Linked DNA regions of Drosophila melanogaster. The protein of the gene in region 1 interacts with the protein of each later gene in a pairwise test. Each region holds a gene or a part of one and is shown in the gene's direction. Other genes may lie near its edges. The genes, in order: mfas and dcma.

The links.
Region 2: the proteins of mfas (region 1) and dcma interact in a two-hybrid assay, tested with the Drosophila melanogaster proteins (one large-scale study listed by BioGRID).

What each region holds. Positions count from the first base shown.
Region 1 is NT_033777.3:11,984,958-11,997,782, reverse strand, and holds the start of mfas (midline fasciclin), read left to right. Parts: upstream 1-4,467; 5' UTR 4,468-4,534; exon of another isoform or gene 4,535-4,930; 5' UTR 4,931-4,970; coding exon 4,971-5,041; intron 5,042-5,639; coding exon 5,640-5,711; intron 5,712-7,780; exon of another isoform or gene 7,781-7,929; coding exon of another isoform or gene 7,930-7,940; intron 7,941-8,259; coding exon 8,260-8,573; intron 8,574-8,983; coding exon 8,984-9,125; intron 9,126-10,406; coding exon 10,407-10,598; intron 10,599-10,662; coding exon 10,663-10,948; intron 10,949-11,010; coding exon 11,011-11,479; intron 11,480-11,551; coding exon 11,552-12,234; intron 12,235-12,295; coding exon 12,296-12,784; 3' UTR 12,785-12,825. Other genes in the region: Tk (tachykinin), read left to right, coding at 1,761-2,411, 2,591-2,819, 3,028-3,041.
Region 2 is NT_033779.5:4,687,917-4,700,646, forward strand, and holds the start of dcma (decima), read left to right. Parts: upstream 1-6,804; 5' UTR 6,805-7,075; intron 7,076-12,730. Other genes in the region: Elba3 (early boundary activity 3), read left to right, coding at 1-872; CG3251 (uncharacterized protein), read right to left, coding at 1,144-2,588, 2,642-2,684.

The sequences.
Region 1 (12,825 bases):
TGTTCTGATGCTTTGACATTTGAGAGCCTCTCCTCTAATCCCTAAAACTATATTTTTTATCCTTAAAAAAAAACATCAAACTTTGGGGCCTTTCAGCACTTTGGCTCCATTCCAACTCCAAGCAAACAGAGCCGTCGTAATCATAACAACGATGAGCCCTAAGTGCCTAACCCACCTGTTGATTGTGGCAAACTCGACATCAATTGAATTCAAATGCATTTCGCTAAGTTCAATTGAATTGCCTCTGCACTTTTCTGCTCGATGCTGCAATGTTTGCTTGTTTGCGGTTGTCGCCGCCGGTGGCAATCAATTGAATTACATGTTTGTTGTTTCCTGTGCGCATCGCATCGTTAGAGGTCGCCACAGTTTTTACCATCTATTGCTCCTGTTGCAGCTGCCACTTCGACACCATCCGCCCCCCCCCCCCCAACCTTCTTTCCCCGACGGGCTTAAGCCACCAGGCCAGGGGTTTATTTGCATGGCAATTTCACTTTACAAGGCGTGGCATAATCATGCGTGGCGTCAACTCGTTAGAGATATTCGCGGCATGGGATGTTGCACTTAAAAGTATAGGAATAAAATCTAGTTGTAAGAATGACACGATAAATTTATATTACAATTAAATTAAAATTAACTTAACCAATGGTTTTAATATTAAATATCTCAAAATTCATTGATTTATAAAATAACTGACTGCATCTAATATGTAAAATAAATACATGCATATACATATATCAATAAAAATCCTATAATCATATATCTACACAGCTGTAACCTTAAATCAAATTCATGGGATTTCAATTCCTCAGTGTACTTTGCCCCACTTCGTCCTTTGTGTTTGCATTTTGCATCATGAGTTGCAGCATCAGCCGACGTTGCACTTGCACTCGATTGCATCTCGACTAAAGGCCAGTACTCATGAGCATCCAAATGTATATGGATACTTCCGCAGATATTGGTGCCACTAAAAATAGGGAATTTCATTGGTTATGATCTTACATTTGCATAGAATTTAAGTATTATTTTTGTGTTTTTTAAGCCCGATACTAATTTAATATTTAGTATTATACATAGTTTGTATTATTATTTTCTCAAATACAATGTTGCATAAGTGTGTATGTTGGAAACCATTCTGTTTCCCACCAAGCTCCTTAACCTATTCACACCACTCCGCGAACCGTAGAACACGAGTACAAAAAGGTCAAGTAGACGCCGCCGCGGGGAATTTGCGAGTCTAAGTGCACTAAAGCAAGTATATGCGAATAGCAAAAAAAAATAAAAAAGGAAAATCAAAACAAACAAAGCAGGAAATGAAATGGAAAACATTTTTAAAGGGTTACACACTTCATACGCGTTTTCTTTATAATATCTGTAGTAATTTTTGTATTTCTGTAATTGCATATGTGAGGTAGAAAATATTACTAAGTATTTATAAACAAGCTAAATTCATTTAATTTATATAAAACAGCTGAGTAGAGTCAAATTAAATTGACATAAATAAAAATGTGGCAGAGTGATTATATTTAACCTCTTCTGTAGTTATAAGCCCTTTTTAATACCCTATGTAACTATTTTCCAGCTAAAAATGAAGATGTATCAACATTTAGTTGTGATAATATGTAATAAAATATCTAGATATTTATCTGACATTAACATTATTTCCTAATTACACATTGTAATAAATCATCGATTTTCTCCCCAATTTCGCTTTTCCAGCAGCGCATCGATTTCCACGCCCGCCTAAAAGCTCGCCACATCCAATGCGCCCTCTGAGCGGTTTGATAGCGCTGGCGCTGCTGCTGCTGCTCCTGCTGACGGCACCATCGAGTGCGGCGGACACGGAGACGGAGTCCTCCGGCAGCCCGCTGACGCCCGGCGCCGAAGAGCCGCGTCGGGTGGTAAAGCGGGCGCCCACGTCCAGCTTCATTGGGATGCGCGGCAAGAAGGACGAGGAGCACGACACCTCGGAGGGTAACTGGCTGGGATCGGGACCCGATCCGCTGGATTACGCCGACGAGGAGGCGGACAGCAGCTACGCGGAGAACGGGCGGCGACTGAAGAAGGCACCGCTGGCCTTTGTTGGCCTGCGTGGCAAGAAATTCATCCCAATCAACAACCGCCTGTCCGATGTCCTGCAGAGCCTGGAGGAGGAGCGCCTGCGGGATAGCCTGCTGCAGGACTTCTTCGATCGCGTGGCTGGGCGTGATGGCTCCGCGGTGGGCAAGAGAGCGCCCACCGGGTTCACGGGCATGCGAGGTAAGCGACCCGCCCTGCTGGCCGGGGACGATGACGCGGAGGCGGACGAGGCCACGGAGCTGCAACAAAAGCGGGCGCCGGTCAATTCCTTTGTGGGGATGCGCGGCAAGAAGGACGTCTCCCACCAGCACTACAAGCGTGCAGCTCTCTCCGATGTAAGTCGACTTACCTTGCAGTTAGTTGTTGGTGGCAAGTACAGTGGTTTCTCTTGATGCGCTTATTAAAACACTAAAACCCCATTGCAAATCAGAGTGTTAGTCTTTTTTTGAATAATACATAAAAGAAACCATTGAATTGCATATCTATACATATGTGAAGATCTAATCGACCCCAGTTCTGGCACACTTTTTTTAAAAAGTCCTATGACTTGAGAGGAAAACAGCAGCGCTTCGCCGACTTCAACAGCAAATTTGTGGCGGTGCGTGGCAAGAAGAGCGATCTGGAGGGCAACGGAGTCGGGATTGGTGACGATCATGAGCAAGCTCTGGTGCATCCATGGCTCTACCTGTGGGGAGAAAAGCGAGCGCCCAACGGATTCCTGGGAATGCGAGGCAAACGGCCAGGTACATATTCACAAATTCATTTAACCAAAATGTATTTGGTTAAAAAGCTGTTGTATTTCAAGCTTAAGGTGGCAACCTATTATTAAGGAAGCTGAATAAAGTTTTAAATTAATACATTTATTATTTATTGCTCGCCAATGGGGGGAAACCCAATTTTATACCCAATTAATTATAGATTTTGATTATTCTCTTCCTTTCATCGACACAGCACTTTTCGAGTAGGCGATGTTGAGCGATTTGATAGATCTTGATGGAAGTTCCTCTTAGAGCTACAAAACTAGGAAATGCGAAAGTAGATGGACACAGGGGACCGGGAGAGCAGATTTGGAAACAGAAAATGGATCACATGAGTGTTTTAAATAATCACTGGGCTGGAGATTATTTCAAACACGGACACACAAAAAACACACGGCTAAGAATTTGCTCTGTTTGTCGACACAAAATTTCAGCTTAATGTATAACGAGACTTGCGAATAATTTATTGGGAATTTATTTGAAATTGAATGAGATGCTTCGATGAGTGTGTGGATTCAATTGTACTATTTGCATATCTAAGTGTAAACTTTTAATCAAAATTATGATGAAAATTAAACTAGAAGAAGTTCAAATGCACAAGATAAACAGAAAAGTGGGAAAGTAATTATTTATTTAAAACAAATATATTTAAAACGAATATACTTAAAGATACATTTCAGTTGTGGTACATCTACGTATACAAAATATATATACACCTACATTAATAGCACAAATAAATATTGTAAATAATGAATAAATATTTATTTCAGAAACGGATGATTACGATTTTTCATGGTTTTTCAATAACAACATACTTTGCTTGACTTTGGTAATAAGTAAAAAACGGGCATCTAATATTGACTAAAATCAAAACAATGAGCAATCAAATATAAGAACACATTATAAAGTCTTCTAACAGTTCCAAGAAATTCAATTTCATCTACACATGTAGCTACAAGCTGACATCTTGTTTATACAAAACAATAAAAACCGATCGGAACAGTTTCAAAATATGAGGAGACTCCTAATAAGGCGGAACCGACCAGACACCACAGTGATTGATGGGTGTTAGAGGTTACGGGAATATCGGAAATTCCAAGTGCGCACTACACCTGGCTAGCAAATACAGGTAGGACATTGCCAGAAACGCTCTAGGTGCAGTTTAAACAGAAAATGATTCTAGGAAATTGAAAATACTCGAAATGAATAAGTAGTTTGAAATGCTCGCCAAGCCAAAGTCTGAAATGATATGAGTCCTATATTATAGGATATATTCTTCAGATTCTACACCGTTTTAGTTTGGGTTTTGTATCCCAAATTCTACAGTATTTTGAGTGAAATGTACTATGATTAATAAAAGTGCTTCGTTTCGCTCGCTTCTCTATGAAGTGTTAATAGCTGGCACTTTCACAATTTGTACGAACCTCCTGCCACCCGCACTATTTGCATATACATATGTAAATACACACATACATACATATATAGAGCTATTACCGATTTCACAGCGTCCCCAAAAGTTCTCTCTGTTCTCCCAAAGCTCCCATGATCACTACATGCGTTGATATCGCGGCAGAGGAATCGACGGCGACTGCGGCAGAGCAGCTTATAAATACCAGATGCTCGACGTTCTTGGGCAGTTAGTTTTAAACTGCGACTTGAAGCGGCAACATCGTCGGATCAAGCAACATATAACAACTTTCGTGAGTGCCACAAGTGCCCCTTTTTTACGATTAACTGCAGTAAAAGGAGCCAGAGACATTTGATAATTGAGTGTGTGCCAATTTTTGTAAAAACAAGACAATTGACAATAATTACAAGTGAGTGACAGGCGGTATATGTCGTCTATCCGTAGCATATTTACAATTAATGCGTGAAGACAGTGGAAAATTTTCTTCGTCGACCGTCGCTCTCACTCCCAAAATCAGTCACCTACATACGCGAGTGCAGCGCTGCGTGGAAAACCTGTATTTCTTCGGTTTCTCAGCTGTTTTTCCATCCATCGCGGTGAAATTTCTCGAATCCAACCAGCCATTCAGCCAGCTTCAGCCATTCCCTTGATTACAGCAACTTTCAGCTTGTCTCGTTCATTTACTTAGCTCCCAACCGAGGCTCCAGATTAAAATTGTGATACCAAACATGCTACGGCTGTGGGCCTGCCTGCTCCTCCTGGGATCAATCCAGATCCAGGCGGTTCCATTCTACGGCGAGTGAGTATCAATCCGACAAGTTTTTCGTGCTGTGTAGTAGCGTTCGTTTCATGCACATTTCACGTAGTTTGAGTTGTTTGCGTTGCGGGCTAAATGGTTAACATATGTACATCGACATCTTCTGATAAGGCATGAACTAAATGTTTTATGTTATCGGAACACAATTGAAATGCCAGGAATGCCTGGGACCCACAAAATTGAAATACTTCTCTAATTAAACATATACAATTTCATAGAATCATTGGAACAAAATTTTACCTAACAAGCGCATCCCAAATAACTAAAAACGGAAAAAAATTAAAAAAAAAAAAACACTTTGAAAGAAATACAAAATTAGATCTAAATTGAAACGTTTGATACCATCCATAACAATGTTTATAACAATATTAATGTAAGCCACGAGTTAAAAAACAAGTATTTTGCCATTATTGAAGTTTTACAATAACGCTTTCAAATATATTTTTGAAGACCAATTGGTAAAGTTTCCAAATAATCGTTAATATTAAGTGCTTAAGTCCCATAGAACTAACCCTAGTAGATTTTTCCCATCCGCCCGACCTTTTAAATCTGTCCCAATAAACGAAATGTTGAATTCCAGTTCAAGTTCTGAAGAGGTTGCCGAATTCGATGACTCCTCGGATTCCACACACGAGTCCTCAGATAACTCCAGGTGAACTATAAGTAAACGTAGTTAGCCCAGCTGTTGAGTCCCCAACATTTCCCAGTAGATTTGCTCATTTACAACTACTTAACAAAGCAAACATACCGACGAGGTTTACATGTTAAACAACTTAAAAATGCTTAAACAGTTTCAATATTTTTTTCACTCACGGGTTCCGCTGGGCCCACTGACACCACATAAAAGTTGGCTAATACCGGGTTCAGTGTTTTTTATGACATTTTCAAGCCCAACGAGGCACCGAGCCCTGTTTGTTCTTGGAGAAACTTTTCGCCCGCTAAACGAAACTGCAAATAAAGTTGACCGAAATGTTTATGGTAGCGAAGGCGCTGAAAGAGCGAAAAGTTCCCCCGGAAAGAAAGTCCAAAAGCCCGCCGAGTATTGACCTCAATTGATAAACCTTAAACTGAAATTGTTGAGTCGCAGAGATTGTCTGCCAATAAATCCGCATCGAACTGGGTTCTTTGCCGCCATTGGAAATGTGCAAAGGCCACGATCTGAGTCTTTGGCTTTTATTATTTTTTTCCCCCTTTTTTGCGAAAGATACTGCATCGCAAGAGAACAATGTGCAACCAAAGTGGGGCAACACCGCGGGACTTGGGCAACCAAGATCCACATCTTCTTCCACCGATCTTCTCCGTTCGCTCCACACTTGGCTGACTTTGCCACCTTTGGGTTCAAGCCGCCGCAGGGCTCATCTTTGGCACACAAATCTCGAACAGTTTTGGCCCTGAGAGCAATTGACATTTGACACGGCATTAAGTGGCATATTGTGGGTAATGGGTAATGCGCCGGCAAAAGAATGTCTCCGCAAACTCTATAATCTGCCCTCGAATTGGGTCGCCCACAATTTGGTTCCCCCTTTAACGCTCACAGAATGTTTTTTTTTATTCTGCCTGTCACGGCTGCGCTTAAATTAAATCAGGCAGCCATTTGGTTGGATCCATCTCTGCCCTCGACGTAAACATTTCCCTGGAAATTTCTGTGGCCAATGACTTTCGCTCTGGCTTCAAGCGAACAGAATTTAGTTTGTTTGCAAATTATATTCGATTCACAGATTGGATACGCAGTCTACAAATATTCCAAGTAGTCTTGAATACCATGATCACAAAACAAATACTTCACACATTCATTAATCTTTCACAAAGTACTTAGTCATTGAATTACTGCTAAATGGATATATTTAATATCTTATCAAACAACATACAGTTGATATTATATTTTTGCACAATTTTTAAGATGAAGAGTAATTATTCTAAGATTTCAAAAGTCATTCGCTCTATTGTAAGATTTTTTATTTCTTTATTCAAATCTGTTCATATGAATGTATACATTTTGAAATATTATTTGCATTCAATAATCGACGTACAGTAGTTAAAATAATGAAAAAGAAATAAAATTTTTGACTTATTTCCAAGTAATATAAAATATTTATGATAACGTTTTGAGTAAATATTCTTGCGAATAAATTGTGAATAAATTAAGTGTTCCTTTTTATCAAATATTTTGATGGTTTTTTGATTGATGGACACACAATTGATTTAAACTGAGGTGCATTCACTCGCTCTAGCAATATTATAGAAGTGATTTCCAGAGAATCTGACAAGGTAGAAAGAGAAAAAAAAAAATCAAACTGGCCAAGCCTCTATGTATTGTAATGTCGGCTTAAACCGCCTGTATCTGTAGCTCAGCCAAAGCCGCTTCGAGCCCTGTCGATCACGTCCCGCCTGGATGAGTCATCTTGGACGGAGGCAGATCTCCAACCAGAAGTGAATCGGATACACAGAAGTACCTCAAAGTCAGCAACCCAACAAATTGTTTACGTTTCGCCTTTTCGGGCAGTATTGTTTTATTATTTATTTCCAGCTAGTTTCGTTTCGTATATTTTTTTCATTTAGCACTTATTATGAGCTTTTTTTAATTAGCTCCCGCGAAGCGAATTTTAATGAGCCGCAGCGAAGAAAAAAAGATTTGAAGTTGGCTAACGCGTATGTATGTCTTCATAGAAAGTATCTGAGTCAGTTTACAGATTTCGAATGCATTGGGAGACGCAGAAAAAACCAAAATCCGTTGACATAAATCTCAGTTGATGGATGACAAGTGCAGGAACATTTCTCAAGTTTTGTTCGCCTTTTTCAGCGATTGTTTCGGCACTTAAAAAGTTATTTTCATTTGATTCTAAAAAGAGTTCCACTGACAGGCGCTTAGTATGCGGCTCAGGTAAATGCTGCGCAAAAAACCTAAACAATGAGCACGATCAGCATATATACTACATACAGATAGATACATATATTTAGTTTGGTGAGGATAGAGTTGAGCTTCTTTTTATGCGAGGTAACAATGGAGGCATATGAATTATTGGGTCCCGGTTCCGTTTCGATTCGTTCCGCTCACCAATGGAATTTGCATGAAGGGAACACACACAGACACACACACACACACACACATATGGGCACACAGTAGCCAGCTAATACTGTATACACTAACCACATCACTCTACACCACGTCCACTCCTACGCCCACTCCCACCGTTCTGCAGCTTTATGCCACATTTAACCCACCCATTGCCGGCGCATCGCAATCTGTTCGCGCCCCTGCCCTTCGCACCACTCGCACCGCTCGAGCCCCAAGATCCACTGCATGCCCAGGCCTCGCAGCGGATGGCGAGCGTCTGGAACGGACCCGCCCCGTTGGCGCCGCAACTCCACTCATCTCACCTGTTGCCCCTCTTCAGCAGCGGATACGACACCGAGTTCGTGCCACTGGAGCACCAGCAGCAGCCGCAGGGACGCCAGGAGACGGCGGCCACCGTTCCCGCTCAAACCCCCAGCGGTGTGGAGCAGAAGCCGTTCAGTAAGTGCTCTATATCTCTATAATATACATATATTTAGATATTCGTTTAAAATTTATTAAAATAGAAATCCCAAAACTCTTTTAATTATTTCTGTTGCAATTGGTTTCTAGTCCAAATCTGGAATAAAATCTGAATTTAAATCTGAAATTGAATCTTAGAAACGACCAATTTATAAACTACTTTGCAAAACAGCAAGAGGTAGCCATTCTTGATCAACTATGCTGATCGCTTAATTATAGTGATTTAACAATGCCATAAAAATTGCACTCGCAAAATTAGTATCTTGAAGAATATTATGTGCAAGCTTAATCTCAGCGTAATTTGAATTGTTACTAAAGAATATTTTAAGTGTCTTAAGCAATTGTTAAATTTTATAGTATGGTTTTAATTGCGTTTCCTTACTTCGCAGATGTGGACACCATCACCACGGATGTGAATTCCCCAAATCCGGCCATCTTCTTCCAGCAATCGTTCCCCTTCTTTGGCAATGAGTTCTTCAATTCGTTCGGAGGCTTTGGCTTTGGAGCTGCCCAGGAGCCCTGGTGGAAGGGGTAAGTGCCATCCATTAAGGGCATTTGCCCCCACTTGAATGCTAAAAAAAAAAAAAAAAGTCCCCCAGTTATGGTCACTAATTTGGCGTCTTTCCTAATCGCCGCACTCGAGTGATTCTGTGGCCAACTTCGCCGTTCTTGGCATTTGGCAATTAAGAGAGCACAATGTCAAGTTCATACGACCCATTAACTATATGATTGTATGGTATATATATTCTATAATTGTGTAAAGTTGGATGGGTTATCGCCATCATAGAGGCAATCGAGCATATCAATTAAATGGTAAATACCTACTTAAATAATTTTCCATCCAAGATTATTCGCAGCTGAGGCTGCTTAATAATTTTCCAGGGCTCGATTGCTGTTTTTTTTTTTAATTGCCCAACCAGATATGGCATTGTATATAGGGAAAAGTGAATGAATATATAGATATATAGTGTCTATATTGGATAAGTGCACAACTGCACGGTTTCTACAGCCGAGCTTGCACTTTTATAAATTGTGAAATCCACTTGTCGTCTTTTTTGCACTGTGCGATGAACTCGTTACTGCGCGGGCATAGTAAAATGAAAGTCACAGATGTGGCAAATTGATAAATTAGCTGCATTACAAACATATGTATGTATGTATGTATGCGACTGTGTATCTATGGTTCAGTGAGAAATTTCTAAAATCTACGCACACAATGAGTTCGCATTCAGTAGACTCCTCTCATCGCTGCCATAATTGAATTGATGGACTGGCAAAGCTGTTAAGCCAACACACATACGCATTTATATAAAAGTCAGTTTGTATAATATAACTATGCTTTCTATGTGCCGGACTCATTGTGCAAATCCATTGGGCAAACAATCGGTTAGCGAGTGCCGATCAACCGACTAAGTTGGATTGGATTCGGAGTTGTGGATATATAGGAATTTAGGGTTGAATCAAAATTATATACATATATGTATAGTGGTATATAGTGCTATATAGTGCATTGACATTTCGATTTGCATGTCTGTTATATGACCAATTCATTAGCAGGTTTGGCTATAATTTGTAGAGAACGTAAAGGGAGAATGATCATCATAGATTAAATATAGCAACAAGTTATTAGTAATTGCTCATTGAAGATAACTTATAAAACTAATGATTTGAATATATGCCTGAAATACACTATTTTTAAAGCTTATGTATTTGAGTCTCGAAAAACGATTGCCTTGAATTATATTTGTTCATTTCGCCAAACTATTACTACATCACATTGTTAACCAATAACCAATTTTTCGCTTTATTCAGACCCAATGTGTGCACCGAAAAGGAGGAAGACGAGACTGTGGCCAGTGAAACGGAGGCAGAAGAAACCGTGGACACCTTTGGCCAGGAACGTGATGGCGTTACCAACGTGGTGCGATCCCCACTCTTTGGCCAGTTCCAGTTCAGCGTTAACTCCTGCGCCGAGAAGCCCAACAAGCACGTCTGCACCAAGATGTAAGCAGATTACAGTAGGATTACCTAATCTCATCCAATTGATTGAACACTTTATCCCCTGCAGCGTGAATCAAAATGGCAAGAAGAAAACGCTGACGCTGACCCGCCAGTGCTGCTATGGATATGGACGCCCCAGAAACGCTGACTTCACAACGCCCTGCGAGAAGATCGACATCAAGGACGTGGAGGCCACGGCCAGTGACATGGGTGCCAAGCAGTTCCTGGAGAGTGCACGCACCGCCGGTGAGCTGGCCGATATGCTCGGAGCAGGCAGTGGCAAGAAGGTGACCCTCTTCGTGCCCAACGACGCCGCCTTCATGGAGTACCGTGGTCATCATCAGCAGGAGAATGTGAGCATGCCTTTGGTTACTAAAATTCATGTAAATAAATGAGAATTCTTTGCGTACAACAGAATGTGGAAGATGCCAAGGCCGAGGCTTCCAAGCCATCCATCTACAAACTGCACGCTGTTCTCGGCGAAGTTCAGCTGGAGGATGTGCCCAATGAGAAGCTTCTGCAGACGGAGCTGCCTGACCAGAAGATCCGCATCAACAGCTACCAGCTGCCTGCGGCTTTGGGCCTGGAACCCTACCGCTTTGCCGCCAACTGTGTGCCCATCGAGAAGCACGACAAGCTCTCGGAGCAGGCCCTTGTCCACACTCTGGGCGGAGTCCTGAAGCCGCTGACCAAGAACCTTATGGATATCATCAGGGAGCGTGCGGATATGTCCATTATGCGCACCGTTCTGGAGAAGACCAACCTGAGCGCCATGCTAGAGGATGACAAGCCAGTGACCATCTTTGTGCCCACCGATGCCGCCTTCGACAAGTTGGAACCTCATCTGCGTCGAGCCCTCAAGGAAGGTCGCGGTTGTGCCTCCAGTGAGTTGGTCTGGAAACTTATCCACAAGCAGCTAACTAACTAATATAATATGATTCCCATTTATCCGGTAGACATCCTGAAGAACCATTTGCTGGACCTCACCTTCTGCTCGCTGGCCACTGTTCCGGGTGCCAAGACGACGGCCTACAATCTACTGGGAGAACCCCTGCTCCTCAACCGAACCCACCGCGCTGCGAATCAGACTGGACCGACTCCCATCTACATCAATAACTTGGCCAAAATCATTGATGCCGATATCATGGGCACCAATGGTGTGCTGCACGTAATCGACACCATCCTGCCCACCGAATCGGCTCTGCCCATGACCTCGCTGATGTCGCAAAAGAACCTGACCATCTTCCAGCGATTGCTGGAGGCCTCCGGCTACGATGATCAGTTCGACGATCTGGACAACGTGACCATCTTTGCACCAACTGACAAGGCTCTGCAGAATACGGAATGGGCTCGCATGCTCAAGGAACAGCCGGAGCTGCTGAATCATAACTTGGATCTGCTGGAGTTCCTTAACTACCATGTGGTCAAGCCCATGATCAAGACCTGTGACCTGTCGGAGAAGTCCCTGCCCACGGTTGCTGGATCTAGTGTGCGTCTGAACCTGTACTCCACCCATGCTCTCTTCTCGGACGTGATGAACCGGGCAACGGTAAACTGTGCCCGTTTGGTGCACTTCGATGACGAGAGCTGCGGATCCGTTCTCCACCAGGTGGATCGTGCCTTGGCGCCTCCCAAGAATGTGAGTTCTACGAGGTTATCACGGAATTTAAAGCTTATGCTTATTTGTAAATATTCCACAGAACATGCTTAAGCTGCTGGAGGCTAATCCCAACTACAGCAAGTTCCTGGAGCTGGTTCGTAAGGCTAATCTTACACAGCTGCTGTCCAACGATTCGAGGAGTCTCACCCTGCTGGTGCCAAAGAACGATATCTTCGAGGAGCTGAACGAGTCCGGTGAGGGTTCAAAGCCCGCCGATCCCATGGCCTTGGTCAAAACCCATATCGTTGAGGATGTTGTCTGCTGTGCCGGCATTATCCCAACCAACTGGCCATTTGTCCGCTCCATCGAGTCCATCTCTGGCCAGCATCTGCGTATCACCCGCGATCGTCGTCCCAAGATCGAGAACGCCGGCGTCACCAAGTGCGATGTGGTGGCCACCAATGGAATTCTCCATGAGATCAACGACATCATCGTGCCACGCCCACAGCGCCAGCAACAGCAGCGACCCCAGCTGATCCCGCCCGGAGCTGGCTATCAGCCACAGGGCGATTTCGATGTCTTCTTCTGAGCGGTGCTCGTCCCCATCTCATGCATATTGATATATAAAGC
Region 2 (12,730 bases), on another chromosome or scaffold:
TACTGGCAGCGGATGAGAGGCGCCTGGTGGATGCAGCATTGCTGTCCATGAGCAAGGAGGAGAGGGAAGATGCCGGCGGCCAGCAACTGTTGGTCCAGTACACCGAGAATGAAAAGGCGGGCGAGCGCCTCATCCAGAAACTTGTTTCTCCAAACAATGTAATGCTGCTGAGCACCAAGCCCGAGCTGAAGGGTAATCCTCTGGTGAGGTTGGCTCCCGGCTGCATTGCCCACATCCTATATGCCTACGAAAGTCGTGATTATATGGAAAAGATACTACTGCACCTGAAAGCGCGAAGCTTTGATCTCGCCTTCGATGATAATTTGGAAGCTGAACCGGAGGCCATGAATGATGACACTTGGATGCTGGTGCAATACAGTCCCGAACCGGAGATGGTGGTATACCAGGTGGTGCAGTACAGACAAACCGTGTGGAGGAAAGAGAATCTCTTTAAGGACGTTATTGCCTACATGCAACTTCCTGGTAGCGACATCGTCCTCCAGGCGGTGGTCATCAGCTATGGCCAGGACAAAGAGGTCCAGGACGCGAAGTATGAGGAGTTGCAACGATTCTCTTTTGATATTGACTTTCCACTGCCCGAAGAACTGGAGAAGCACCCCGATCACATGACGTCCACCGCCCTCTTCTCGCGAACCAGCTTGTATCAGAAGGCGGAGCAGCGGGACACTACTGGAGAGCACAGGGAGTTGCGAAAAAGTCTGGAACAGATGAGCGAAAAGGCGCAGGGCGAGGCCCAAATGATCATAGATGCCTTCGACATGGTGGACAATATCAACAAGAATCTGCAGAGTCGTTTGTCCGGAGAGGTGCGATCGGTAGTGGAGGTCACATCCGGAGACGAACTTCATTAGTTGGCAAACACATCACATTTTCTTTATACATATATAGTCTACTAAGTTTCGTTGAAAGTTTAAAACTTAAATGGTAAATATTATTAGGCTAGAATTAAATACTAATTGTAAACTATATGTTTAGGTAATTTGAATAAATATATAAAGATCTGCAAATGATAAACGTATAAATATTTCTGTTTTTCACGTTTTATTCTGATTTTCGACATGTTAAACATGTTAAATATAAATATTTAAATTGACATATTTGTAAAAACAAGAAAAAAATATATTAAAATGGGGCAGTGCACTGGGGTGCAGGCGGGTGGGGGGCATGATCAAACGCAAGCATGTATGGTGCGTTGTGTACAATTATCAAAACGTGCATCATGACCGACGGCGGACCAACTCGTGGTTGTTGGACGAAAACGAACGATCCTGTCTGATGTATCATCAAAGGATTAGGCATCAACGGCCGGGTGGGTTCCATCCATCTAGAGGGCCCGAAAACAGGTGGCTGCTGTGCTGTTACGTTAACCGGACGAGGATCGGCCACCGGTGGTGGTGGCATCGAGGGAGCCGTACCAGGCATCGGGTCAGGGACGAATCCTTGCTGATCACCTTGTACCGACTGTCTCCCCATTTGGCTATTGTGGAGACGTTGGGGCCGCTTGCGAGCAAAGTCCCAGGCCTTGAATTCATCTGGTGGCAGTGGATGTAGATTATCGGAGGGCACATCAACCAGTTTTCCCTGCTCCTCGATAAACACTTTACAAACGGACTTCTTCTTATCGATCGATTGGATGTAACAAGCGCTGAGCAGATCGCGTCTATTGGTATCCAACTGCACCTGGCACTTAGCTCCCACCTTGAAGTTATAGTCGCCTATGTAAATACCAAATTCATACGCTTCACGACGAGCTTCAATCGCGCTAGTCAGCTCCACGTTACGATACCTACAGGGATCCATTGACTTGGCTACCAAATAGGAGAAGGGAATGTTGTTCTCCTCCAGAAGGATCCGCATGCAGGAAAAGTCGGCAAACTGTCCGCCCATTGCTAGCCTGCGATTATGAAACGGGCACATCTGGGAGTTTTCAAGCAAGCAAATGGTGCTCTCAGGGCGATCCAGCTTGAAGCTTCGTCCGTTGCGGCACAGCAAACGGATGGCGCGGCCGCGCGAGTCGAACTCATATTCAGTGCCCATTTTGAAGGTATCTGGATACAGCATCCATTCCACAGCGAGATCAACATCTGGCAGGCGGAACAGGTGCTTGTAAAGCATCTTGAAGGACACAGACTGGCAAACGGCGGCCATATCGACGTCCTGCATAGTCAGCACGGTTTCAAAATGCCCCATGCTGTTCATAAAGATACGTAGGATCTCCTTGTAGTCCTTGTTGTAGGTGACCATCCGGCCCATATCGAAGGGTTCGTAGATGATGACATTGCGGCGGTACAGGTGGCACATGGCACCCAGTTCCAGTATGGTGCCCGCCGTCTTGGTCTTGCCCAAATGCCACAAGTACTCGTCGAAGTCTCCACTCACAAATCGCCGGAAGGTCTTCCATTTCGTGAACATATAGCGAACGCACTCCATCCTCACTTCGTAATGAAGCATCTGGGTGTCGTACACCTGCTCAGCGACCACTCGAAACAGACTCGAGGCATCCCCTAGCATATGCTTCCGAAAGAGTTGACGTCGCTCCAGGAACCGATCTATTGGATCTCTTGCCTCTGTGGGAAGACTTGGTTATGGTAATTGTGTAAGATGCAAATCCCTGACCTACTTCTAACTTCAGTGGAAGCCAAGCGCTGCAATACTTCGGACATTATTGTTGGGTAAAATATTTTAGTACTGGGTACTTAAATAAAAGTTAAATCAAGTCGCGACTAATAGGAAAAAGTTCAAGGAAAGCCACGAGTTTCCTGCGTCGTTGCCAGATGTTGGAATTCTGCACTTCCATTATACGCGTTAAAAGTGGAACAGTGGAAATGAACACGAAATTTGCCTTCAATACCTGTTCTCCTTAAGCTCCTGTGTGAAAGCGTTATTATGAAATGCAAAATTGTAGCTATGTGGCAACACCGTCGAAGGGAAGCACGTGAGAAACTTATTAGCCAAATAATCAAAAATCAAAAGGATTATTGGTCACATTGCTGTCCTCATGAAAGAGCTTGGCAACCTTACCACTTAAATTTTAAATTTCGATTCTGAACATAGTTAAATTGTATTTGTGAATCTATGTTAAATTGCATAAACTTTATAATGTGGTACATATCTTAGCATTGATTTATTATGCTTTCGAGTGGAGCTATAAAACATGAAGAAAATAATAGAGCACATAAATAACTGCATAAACATTTAGAGGCAAACGGCTCAAAAATGCAGCAATGGCATTCAATAAATTCGAAAGCATTTGACACATCAGCAGGTTGGTAATTAATTGATAGACAGAAATAATCGAGTGAATTATGTTCGTATAATTCGATTTCAACACGTGTCGCCATCAATTTCTATCGAAACAGCTACCATGTGCGATGCCCCACAATTAACTAAGCGCTTTTCCATTACTTGGCAATCATGGATCATTCATGGGATGGATTAATTCCGCCAACCGAGCCACTTCATCATCAACACAAATTTCTAGAGAAGTGAGTGTAAGACTGACTCGATAATGAAGTGTACGGAAATAGACAAAGATTTAGGGGTTTCTTCCGCTCCCCATCGGGATATTGACTTGCTGATTATTTTTATTTGGCCAGGCAGAGCGCTTCAATTGAGACATAAAACTATGCCAACACACGAGCATAAACATTTATACACACGATTAGGAGTGCTGTTTGTTTTTATGTTTGGTTTAGCGCTTCCGTTTGTGGCCACCAAGAAATGCCAGCACACACTGCGTATACGCATTAAATGGCCCAGAATGAGATACAAACAAACGGACAGTGGGAGAGAAAAAACAAAAGCAAAAATTGGGGAAACGAAGGGAGCCGAAGCCCAAACATTTGGCGCGATTAAAGTGTGCACTTCTAGTTGTATAAAACATGGCCCATAAATCAATGAAAAACTAATCTGAAAATCAAAAGGAAAACACTGGGGGATTTGTTTTGTGCGAAATGAATTTGGCTGGCCAATAAAACGCACGTGAGAACCCATACTGCACCGAAAAGTATTTTTATCCTTTTGTTGAACTTGTTAAAATTCACTAAAAATGCAAATCAATTAAATTAAAGCAACAACTTTATTTTTTCAACTCCGTACCATTTGGGAAATACAATTTATGCAAATGCAACAGCAGTAGCTGTAGTAGACACAAAAAAAAATAAAATTCATGACAAGCCGCAAGCTTAAATGCTCATTAGTGTTCCGAAGCGAGAAAAAAACCAAATAAAATAAAATGAAACAAAGTAGAAGCCCCGAAACTAAAATCAAGAGGGAGCGCAGTGGAGCGTATTTTTGTCGCCTGCATCGCATTTACATTTTCAAATCCAACTGTACTGTATACTTGTGAGTTAGTACATAAGGACAAACGTCTCCGCCATATAAATGCAAAGCTCTTCGAGAACCGGATGGTCTTAAGTTACCGAATTGCAGGCAATTAATTGGGACTTACGGCCGAAATCCAAGGCTAACTTTGACTTTGGCTGAAACAGAAAGATTTCGTTGGCTGCATTGTTATGCGCTCTTGCGTGAATTGATCCCCTTTTAATGATGCACTCCAGTGGCGAAAATAATTTGCTTGTGACAGCCTTTGAGCCTTCTGCTAATGCTTTGTTTTAAATCATTGTTATTTCAGGCGAGTAAGCCCTGCTACTAGCTTCTGTGCTTTTCTCCTTTAAATGCTAATGCCATTGATTTCGGCACACAAATGCAATTCAGTTGCTATGCACGAAACATGTTAAGCATACGCAGCGTTGCCCCGGCAAAAGTTTGTGCATGCAAATTTGACGATAAACTTGAACTAATTAAAAAGTTGCGCTAAAAAGTTGCATTAAGCCAGAGACCGCAAAGGTTGTGCACTATTTTTCCGCCAGAATGTTTTCTCATCTCGTTGGCTGCGTGGCGGGTGTGTTGACAAATTGACATATTGTGGCTACAGAAAGTTGCAGTTGTAAGTCGTTGCCATTTCTCTTGCAACATGTGGCACAGCGGGAGGTGTAATACTTGCGGCTAATTTCGAGTTTGTTGCTCTAAGCCCGAAGCATTTCGTATCTGGCTTCCTGGCCCTATGCTCAGCTCACACAAAACTGATGGCCACAGGATAAAACGGGGGCCCAAACAAAACCGCACACAAGCTACCAGCGGTTTACTTGCCCCTCAGCAATTGCTGTTCGAAAAAAAGTGGCACTGGATAAAAAGCATGTTGAACATTCTGTTCTGGCCAAAAACTGCGGGAGCTGCAGTTCAAGAAATACAGCCACTACTTGACTGGAGTTCAGTTAAAGCACACTTCGTGTTTACTATCAATAACTTATTTTATTTACTTTTAAAGTGCTTCTGCACACGTACGTTGGCTTAATCTTTATTTGTGGCTTATTTGCCTGGCTAGCGTGAGCTTTACATTGGCTTAGTTTAAACCTGCTTACCTTGTTATGTGATAAATCTTTTTTGCCAAAACTTTATCTTTACCGGTTTAAATGATAAAGAAGAAATGTTATGTAAAATGGAAAAAAAATATACAATATTTATTAATTAAGAGAATGAAATATTTCATAATTTTTATAAACTTTAATATATAAAACCGATATAAATTTTCAGTGATAGCAGCCACATATCGGGTATCACAGACTCGGGACTCGTTGGAGCATTTATTTTTTATAATTCACTTGAGCCTTGTTAAGACCGCTGGTAGAGCATGGCTAGCATGTGTGTGTTTATGGGCCACCACCTCATCATCAACTCGTGTCCGTTTCCGTGCCCCACACTTCTCGCACCACTTGCAACCACTTGAATTTGCTGCGGTTGTTGCTGCTGTTCGTATTTGCCATGCCATTTGCTGGAGAAATTTTTCTTGATTGCCTCGCCCCCAGCAGTTTGCTTGTTTTTCGCTTATGCGTCGTCATCTTTCCACATCCTTTTACCATTTTCCACGGGTTTTCCCTTTTCCGTATTTATTTTTTACTCTGCTTTTTGTTCTCCTGGCAGACAGTGATTTTGACATTTCACGCGCATTTGTTTGTTATGCTTCTCTGGCCAGCAGCATTGACAGCGCGGGAAAGGTCAACATTTCCCTTTATTTTTTTTTTTTTTGCATAAGTGCGTAAGGCCATGTATTCATAGAAATCGTAGTGGGCCATAATAAAAATAAGGACTGTGGTAGTGGCACGCAGGCTCATTAACATTTGCGAGGCACGTGGCGGGAATGACGCTAACTCAGTTGCTCCCCAGCGTCGCATTCGGCTTAGCCAAATTGATTTTCCGTCCTGCCAACAAAACAATCTGGCACAGCGAGAGAAAAACATAACAATATCAGCATCAGTCACATAACCATTGCCAGTTTTGCATAGCCTTTTCTGTTCATAAGCCAAGGGTTTTATGATCACCAGTTATCCGAATTTCGGCCAATTCGATTGCTCATTTTTATGTGGAAAATATTTATGAATCGATACGTTTATAAAATATAAAGCACATTTATAAATGCAATATCTTTATCTGAGGAACGGAGTCTTTTCTTTTCCGTTTCTAACTCATAAAAACTTAGGGCTTACTTTTTGCAAGGAATACATATTTATTTATGCACAGAATTTTTCTCTGTATTCCCAAAAGGGGAAATAAACATCAGACCAACACAGAATTCCACTCAAAACAATTATGAATGAATGGCCAGAAGAGCGCTCAAACCAGTTAACAGAGCAGCTGTTGCTGTCGAGTCTATGTTAACGCTTTCACTTGGCCAACAGCCGCAGCTTCTGGCAAGTATTCTGGCTTTTAGTCCCACAACAGACGTCGAGGCGAGAACACGCGGCCCAAAAGACGTGCGCATGTCAAGTTGCGAGCTGCGTTTGGTTTTCGATTCGAGCCACATGGCGTATACGCGATACGGTCTGTGCCACTGCCTGCATTGAGTACTGAGTCAATAATGGTCGGTGGTCAGTGCTGCGGCTTTAGTGCGTGCTGAGCTGAGTAGCAGATAATGTGTCAATAATTGAACTGGACAATCGGCATTGCTCGATCCAGTATGTGAATAGCCGACACTCAACTGGAAAGGAACTTCGATGTAAGCATAAATAGCACCCAGAAACTTTAAGTGTTGGTGTAGTAAAAGTGTGAACTTAAAGCATGTACCACTTTAACATGTCTGAAACATGCGTAGGAAACACAAGTTAACAATATTTTCTGCTTTCGACTAAGATAAAGAATTAGTCTTGTTGTTTAACACCAAAATCTGCTTTTATTTAAGAAAAAAAAACGACATCAGTCAAAGAGACAATAATTAAATTTCGAGACACAAAGGCCCCTTATTTCACTTAACCCAATCAATTAGATCAAATAAAATATCAATACAAAATAGATTAAAAGAGGGCGCAGCACCGAAGCAAGTCGAATAAATAAATGCAAATAAAATAAGTTCAAATCGGATCAGCAGAGTGACGTATTTAAATTTCACCAGGGGCAAATCGAGCCGCCACGTAGTTCGACATTCGAGCCGTCATAAGCCGGAATTCGGAGGGGATTGCATTAGGGAAGTTCTTACTTTCTGGTGCCGCTCGAATTTCCCCAGGGCACTTGGGATGCACGTGAGCTCTGTGCCGATGGATTTTCCATTCCGCATTCGCCCCGTTTTCCCGCTCCGATACACATTTTTTTGCGACGTTTGTCAACACCATTTGGCCTCTATTTGATTTGCATATTGCTACCTGTCTGGTTTTCCGAGAAGCCTGTGAACGTGCGTGAAAAGTAAACAGGGGATAGGATGGGCGAAACAAAAGGGACGGCAAACGTGATAAAATAGGTGGAAAAATAGCGGATAAAAAATGAAAACATTTGCCGGAAAACAAAGAAAATTATCTGACCAGATGCCCGGGCTGTCCGTTCTCTCTTCCCCGGGGGAAGAGTAAAGTTGTAATAAAAAATAAAAATAAAACCCGGGGGTCGCCAGTGACAAGTGACAGGTTGCTTGTTTGCCGGGCCGAATAATGTGGTCAGGTCCGTCTGATATGGCCGCCTAATTTGGGAGACGCTTTTATTGTTTGCCCACGGACATGGCGTCATTATCTGCTGGCATTTTTGTGCGCTCCCCATTTGTTTACACGCACTTTTAACGTGTTTATTCGGCCACAACGCAAACTAATTGAAACACACCGGGCGTATACTTATTGTAATGCCCGTGGGCGTGTCACGTTCCACGTGCAATCAGTGGCCGCCTTGAAATCCACTCGTCTGCAATTGCAGTGCACGCTGCACCCTATCACGCCCCCCATTTGCTCTTTGAGGCTTTCACTCGCAGGACCCACTGTCATTTGGCCCTCAATGCCAGCAGCTGAAAGCTGAAACAACAGCTCACTGCTTCCACTATCCGTAGTTCTCGCCCTCGTCCTCATCCTCGTCCTCATCCTCGTCCTCATCCTCGTCCTCGTCATCATCATCATCGCCATCCGCCGTAGTCGCGGGTACGACATATTCGCTCAGCGGTTCACGCCGAGGTTGAGGTTGAGCCGAGCCAAGTGAGTAAGTGAGTGAGTGAGTGCCAGGAGCGGCAACTTGTTTACCTGCCTGTGTTTTAATGAAATGCAAATGCAAACACAGCCGTGAAGCACCATGGGCTCCATAGGCTCAAAGTGGGCCAAAAATAGGTGAAGGATTAACAGCTAGCGGAATCCATTACCGACTCTGTATTTTTGATATTTTATTAACACCTACACAAAATTACATTGAAAACAATTTCTTTTAGAGACCACAATTCAAAAATAAGTATAAACGCAACGAGATAAGCTTGAATATTTAAAAGCAAAGGCAATTCATTATTAAATAGTTTTGAGTTTTATTTGCATACAACCTTGCGGATTTTCATTTAAGTTAAAAACACAGAGCACACACATCAATTTAAGTGGCGGATGTTGTGATTGGTTAGCTGTATAAATTTGAAACAGCAGTGTTTGTTTTCATAAGCCCGCTCGATGGCTTCGCAAGATTGATTGCATCCAGAGAATAGATCGAAATAGACCTCCGAATGTGAACGTAAACACGCCACAGTGCCCACCTGTATCCGCCAGGTAATTTTTCCTGGCCCTCTGCAATGGCACTTAGCGGTAATGGGGTTACTGCCAAGGAGCCGCACTCGCTTGAGAATGTCCCTGATTTTGTACGCAAACACTTCAATTTCCGTGACAGATGACAATTTGCCACAATTGCACATTGCAGTGCAATTAGATTTAGTAAATTTTTAACTCCCATTTGGCCGGCATTAGATTCGTATGTAACACAATTTCATTCATGCCAGTTGGTATTGGCCATCTTGTCCTGCATTCGCATAAATAAATTGGCAAAAGATTCCTTTACGGCCAAGTGGGATGATCTTTAGCCAGCAGCTGGGTCTTAAGTTCACATTGGCACCGGGGTCGTAAAAGCGGATCTAAGCGCCATTTCAAAATTGCCTGGGATTGACCGCCATCGCGCTGGATTTTGACTTAAAGTGCCATTCGGATATGCATTAAATTTATGGCAATACATTAAACTAAATACTCCTCATCGAAGCTATCAAAGGTGCCGCAGCGGAAATTGAACGTGACAAACTTATGAAAAGCGCTAAAACATGTTGGCCTAAGCGGCTTTTTATGACAGATACTCAATTTCCTAATGGCACCGGTGGACGCAACCGAGGTTGGTAAAAAAAGCAACCAGATTTGTATCTAAATATTGGCATGCCATGCTCGACAAGTTTAAAGTTTTAATTAAACAAGTACGACGAGGCTAATTACTGCATTATGATAAACAAAACAGAAAGAGCACTTTAGACTTTCAGCTAACTTTGTAATAATGTCCAGGATATTAAGCTAGAGATAAATATTATTGTGCACTTAAAGTTAAATACACATTAAAGTTACTTGCGCATTGAGTTTTAAGCCCAAGTCAAGTCAAACCGTCAAGGATAACGTCAAATACTTGTGTCCTTAAGCCGAACTGGGAGAGTTCGAAACTTTTCCAATTCACTTAGTTCATTAACTTGATTCATCGGCAAGTGAGTTGCCCGAACTCCACAAATGGTAATCAACTGGCATTGATTGCTCATTTTTAGCAGGTTCTGGTCCTGTGCCAAAAACCCGGATCTCGCTTAAAGCTTTGGATTGCAATCCAGCTAACCCATTGACCTTGGCCGGAAACCAGAGAGGATTATTTTTTTTTTTTCGGTCTGGCCCGGCGTCAACTCTTTGGTAACATATCACTCAACTCAAGTTTTTGCCCTGGCCCCAAAGTTGCCATGAATAACTTGCGAATTTCTTTGAAAATGACTCGCTCAAAGGCGGAAGTTTCCGCTCTCCTCGCGTTTGACATGCAGGGGCGGTCGTCACTTGAATTTAATTAAAAAAGAATTTGTGTTCTAAACTTTTGAGCTGCAAAGGCTGTTTGCTGCATTTACTTACCCATTAAGAGGGCTCAATCCAGTCGGGCGACAGTCAGGCGACCCGAGCTTAATCATAATGTGCTTACAAATACCCAAATACCGCCTTTGATTTATGCTGATAACTCAATTTGGATGGCGTCTATTTTATTCTGACGCCTGGCTACATTTTCGTTAATCTATTACGGCCAGCGGCGACCGATATCACTTTAATTCAATTTATATCTACCAACAACATCATCCGCAACACCATCGAGAATTCGTATTTATTTCATGCGCACGATTTCGAAAAACCAAAAACGAATCCGAAACCAAACCGTCAACAGCCCATGGGCCATGGGATGTCGGGACAAAGTCACTTAGCTGCTTATCTCCACGGAACTAAGCCAGATCGCCCTCAAATGGAGTGGGCGTGGTACATTGTGTCTGCTTTTACTCATTTTATCCGTACGCGAGCGTCACGGATTGGGGAATACTCGTATGTACGAATAATATGCACGACAAATTCATTATAATATCGCCCAAACGAATTCGTCGACGGCTTGAATTTTCCTGCGTGCGTGCCAAGACATACGGCAAACGAATTTCGCCCAGAAGTGCGTTGGTATTGCTGGCCCACACACAGATTCTCACACACACACACAAACACTCGCTGAACCAATATCAAATCAGTTTAAATGCGCCCCAATGTGTCGTTCTTGGATTATGATTGCGAACGTTTGCGGCTGCCCCGAGGGCGGTTACAAATGTAATGAAAAGTAATTTCTATTTCTGGCCACAACCAAATGGGATTTTTACAAAAGCGGTGGTACTGCGGTCCTTAATTTACCATAAATAGATATATATATAAATTTTTATAAACTCTTCACTTAGCATTAAAATGATTTTAACCATAAATTATTTCAATTTTCGAATCACATTAGTTAAATATTGAAATATTGATAGCGGATTGATCATTTGTTTTAGGTCAGCTGTACTCAATTATATATTTAATCTTCATCCAATCCATTTGCAGCTGGTAATGATTTATTTAAGTTAATTTAAACAAACTGCATAAATTGCTCGTCCAGCAATGGGAAAAATAAAATAAAAACGCAACTGATTAAAGAGTTTTGGTGTTTTTTGGTCTTAAACAAATCAGATATTGATTAAATATTGGGAAACGCTACAATCTCTATTAAATTAGTGTAAAAAAAATATTACATCTCAGAATTCGCTTAAAAACAACGAAATGCAGCTACTGCAAATGCAAAACATTCAGCGACATAGAATGAAATCCTTTGGGTTTTCTTTAAATAAGTACAGATCATCTTCTGAATACAAAACCACAAGTTTGCTTAAGAGTCAGAGAGAGAAGCTCCAGAATTATGCCATTTTCCGCTATACCCATGGCCCGCGAAGAAGTATTCTTTATTCTTGAGGCAGCACCAAATAAAAAAAAAATATGAGAAAAAATCGCTCTGAAATTTCCGCCTCGGTCTTATCCTTTATTTTGAGCAAAGGACCTGAAAAGGAACCCAGTGCCCGTTCATGTGTGTAAATGGGAGCATGTGAGTGTTTTTCAGCCACTGTGTGAGTGTGTGGCATTATGCGCCCTGGCATTTTTATGGCACTTTAACTTTATGTTGAGTAATTCCCGGCTGAAGGGCGAGAGTCAAGTCCTCGGGAAAGTGTGGCCGAGACCATGATGACCGCTTTGCAGGGGCTATTGAATGTGAGTCCGGCTCTTGACAGCGGCCATTGAATTTATTAATTGCTTAATCATGATGATCCGGTTTGCAATTTATCACCAGGCGTGCACCTTTTCTCATTGATACCTCAATGGGTATTCACAATTATGTTCAATAAAATTCTTTCGTCAGCTAACAAATTTGTATTAAACACGAGTTTTGTGTATTCTTTAAATTCACGATGAAACCATATTTTGGCAAAACACGTTTTTCAGTCTAAAAGGAGGCCTTTTTTTTATCATAAAACTTAAAATAATTGTCCAAATATGGAATGCCATACCTCGTTGAGCTTGTATTTTATCCCCAAATCGATTGGCATTCAAACTTGGCAATTTTAATTTTTTGCCAATTTTTGCAAAATTTGATGATGGTATAAAAAATGCAAAAACTGACCCAAAAATAAAATTTTTTTTATTGACCAAAAAGTAATAGCAATTGTTGCTATTGGTAATTAGGTGCAGAAAACAGTTATTCCTGTACTTATCTGACTATTTTTAGGCGAGTTGTGAAGAAAATACCACTCTTAAATATTGCGTTTTTGCCAAAAGAGACCTTTTTGATTTTTCGCCCAAATATATTCAGT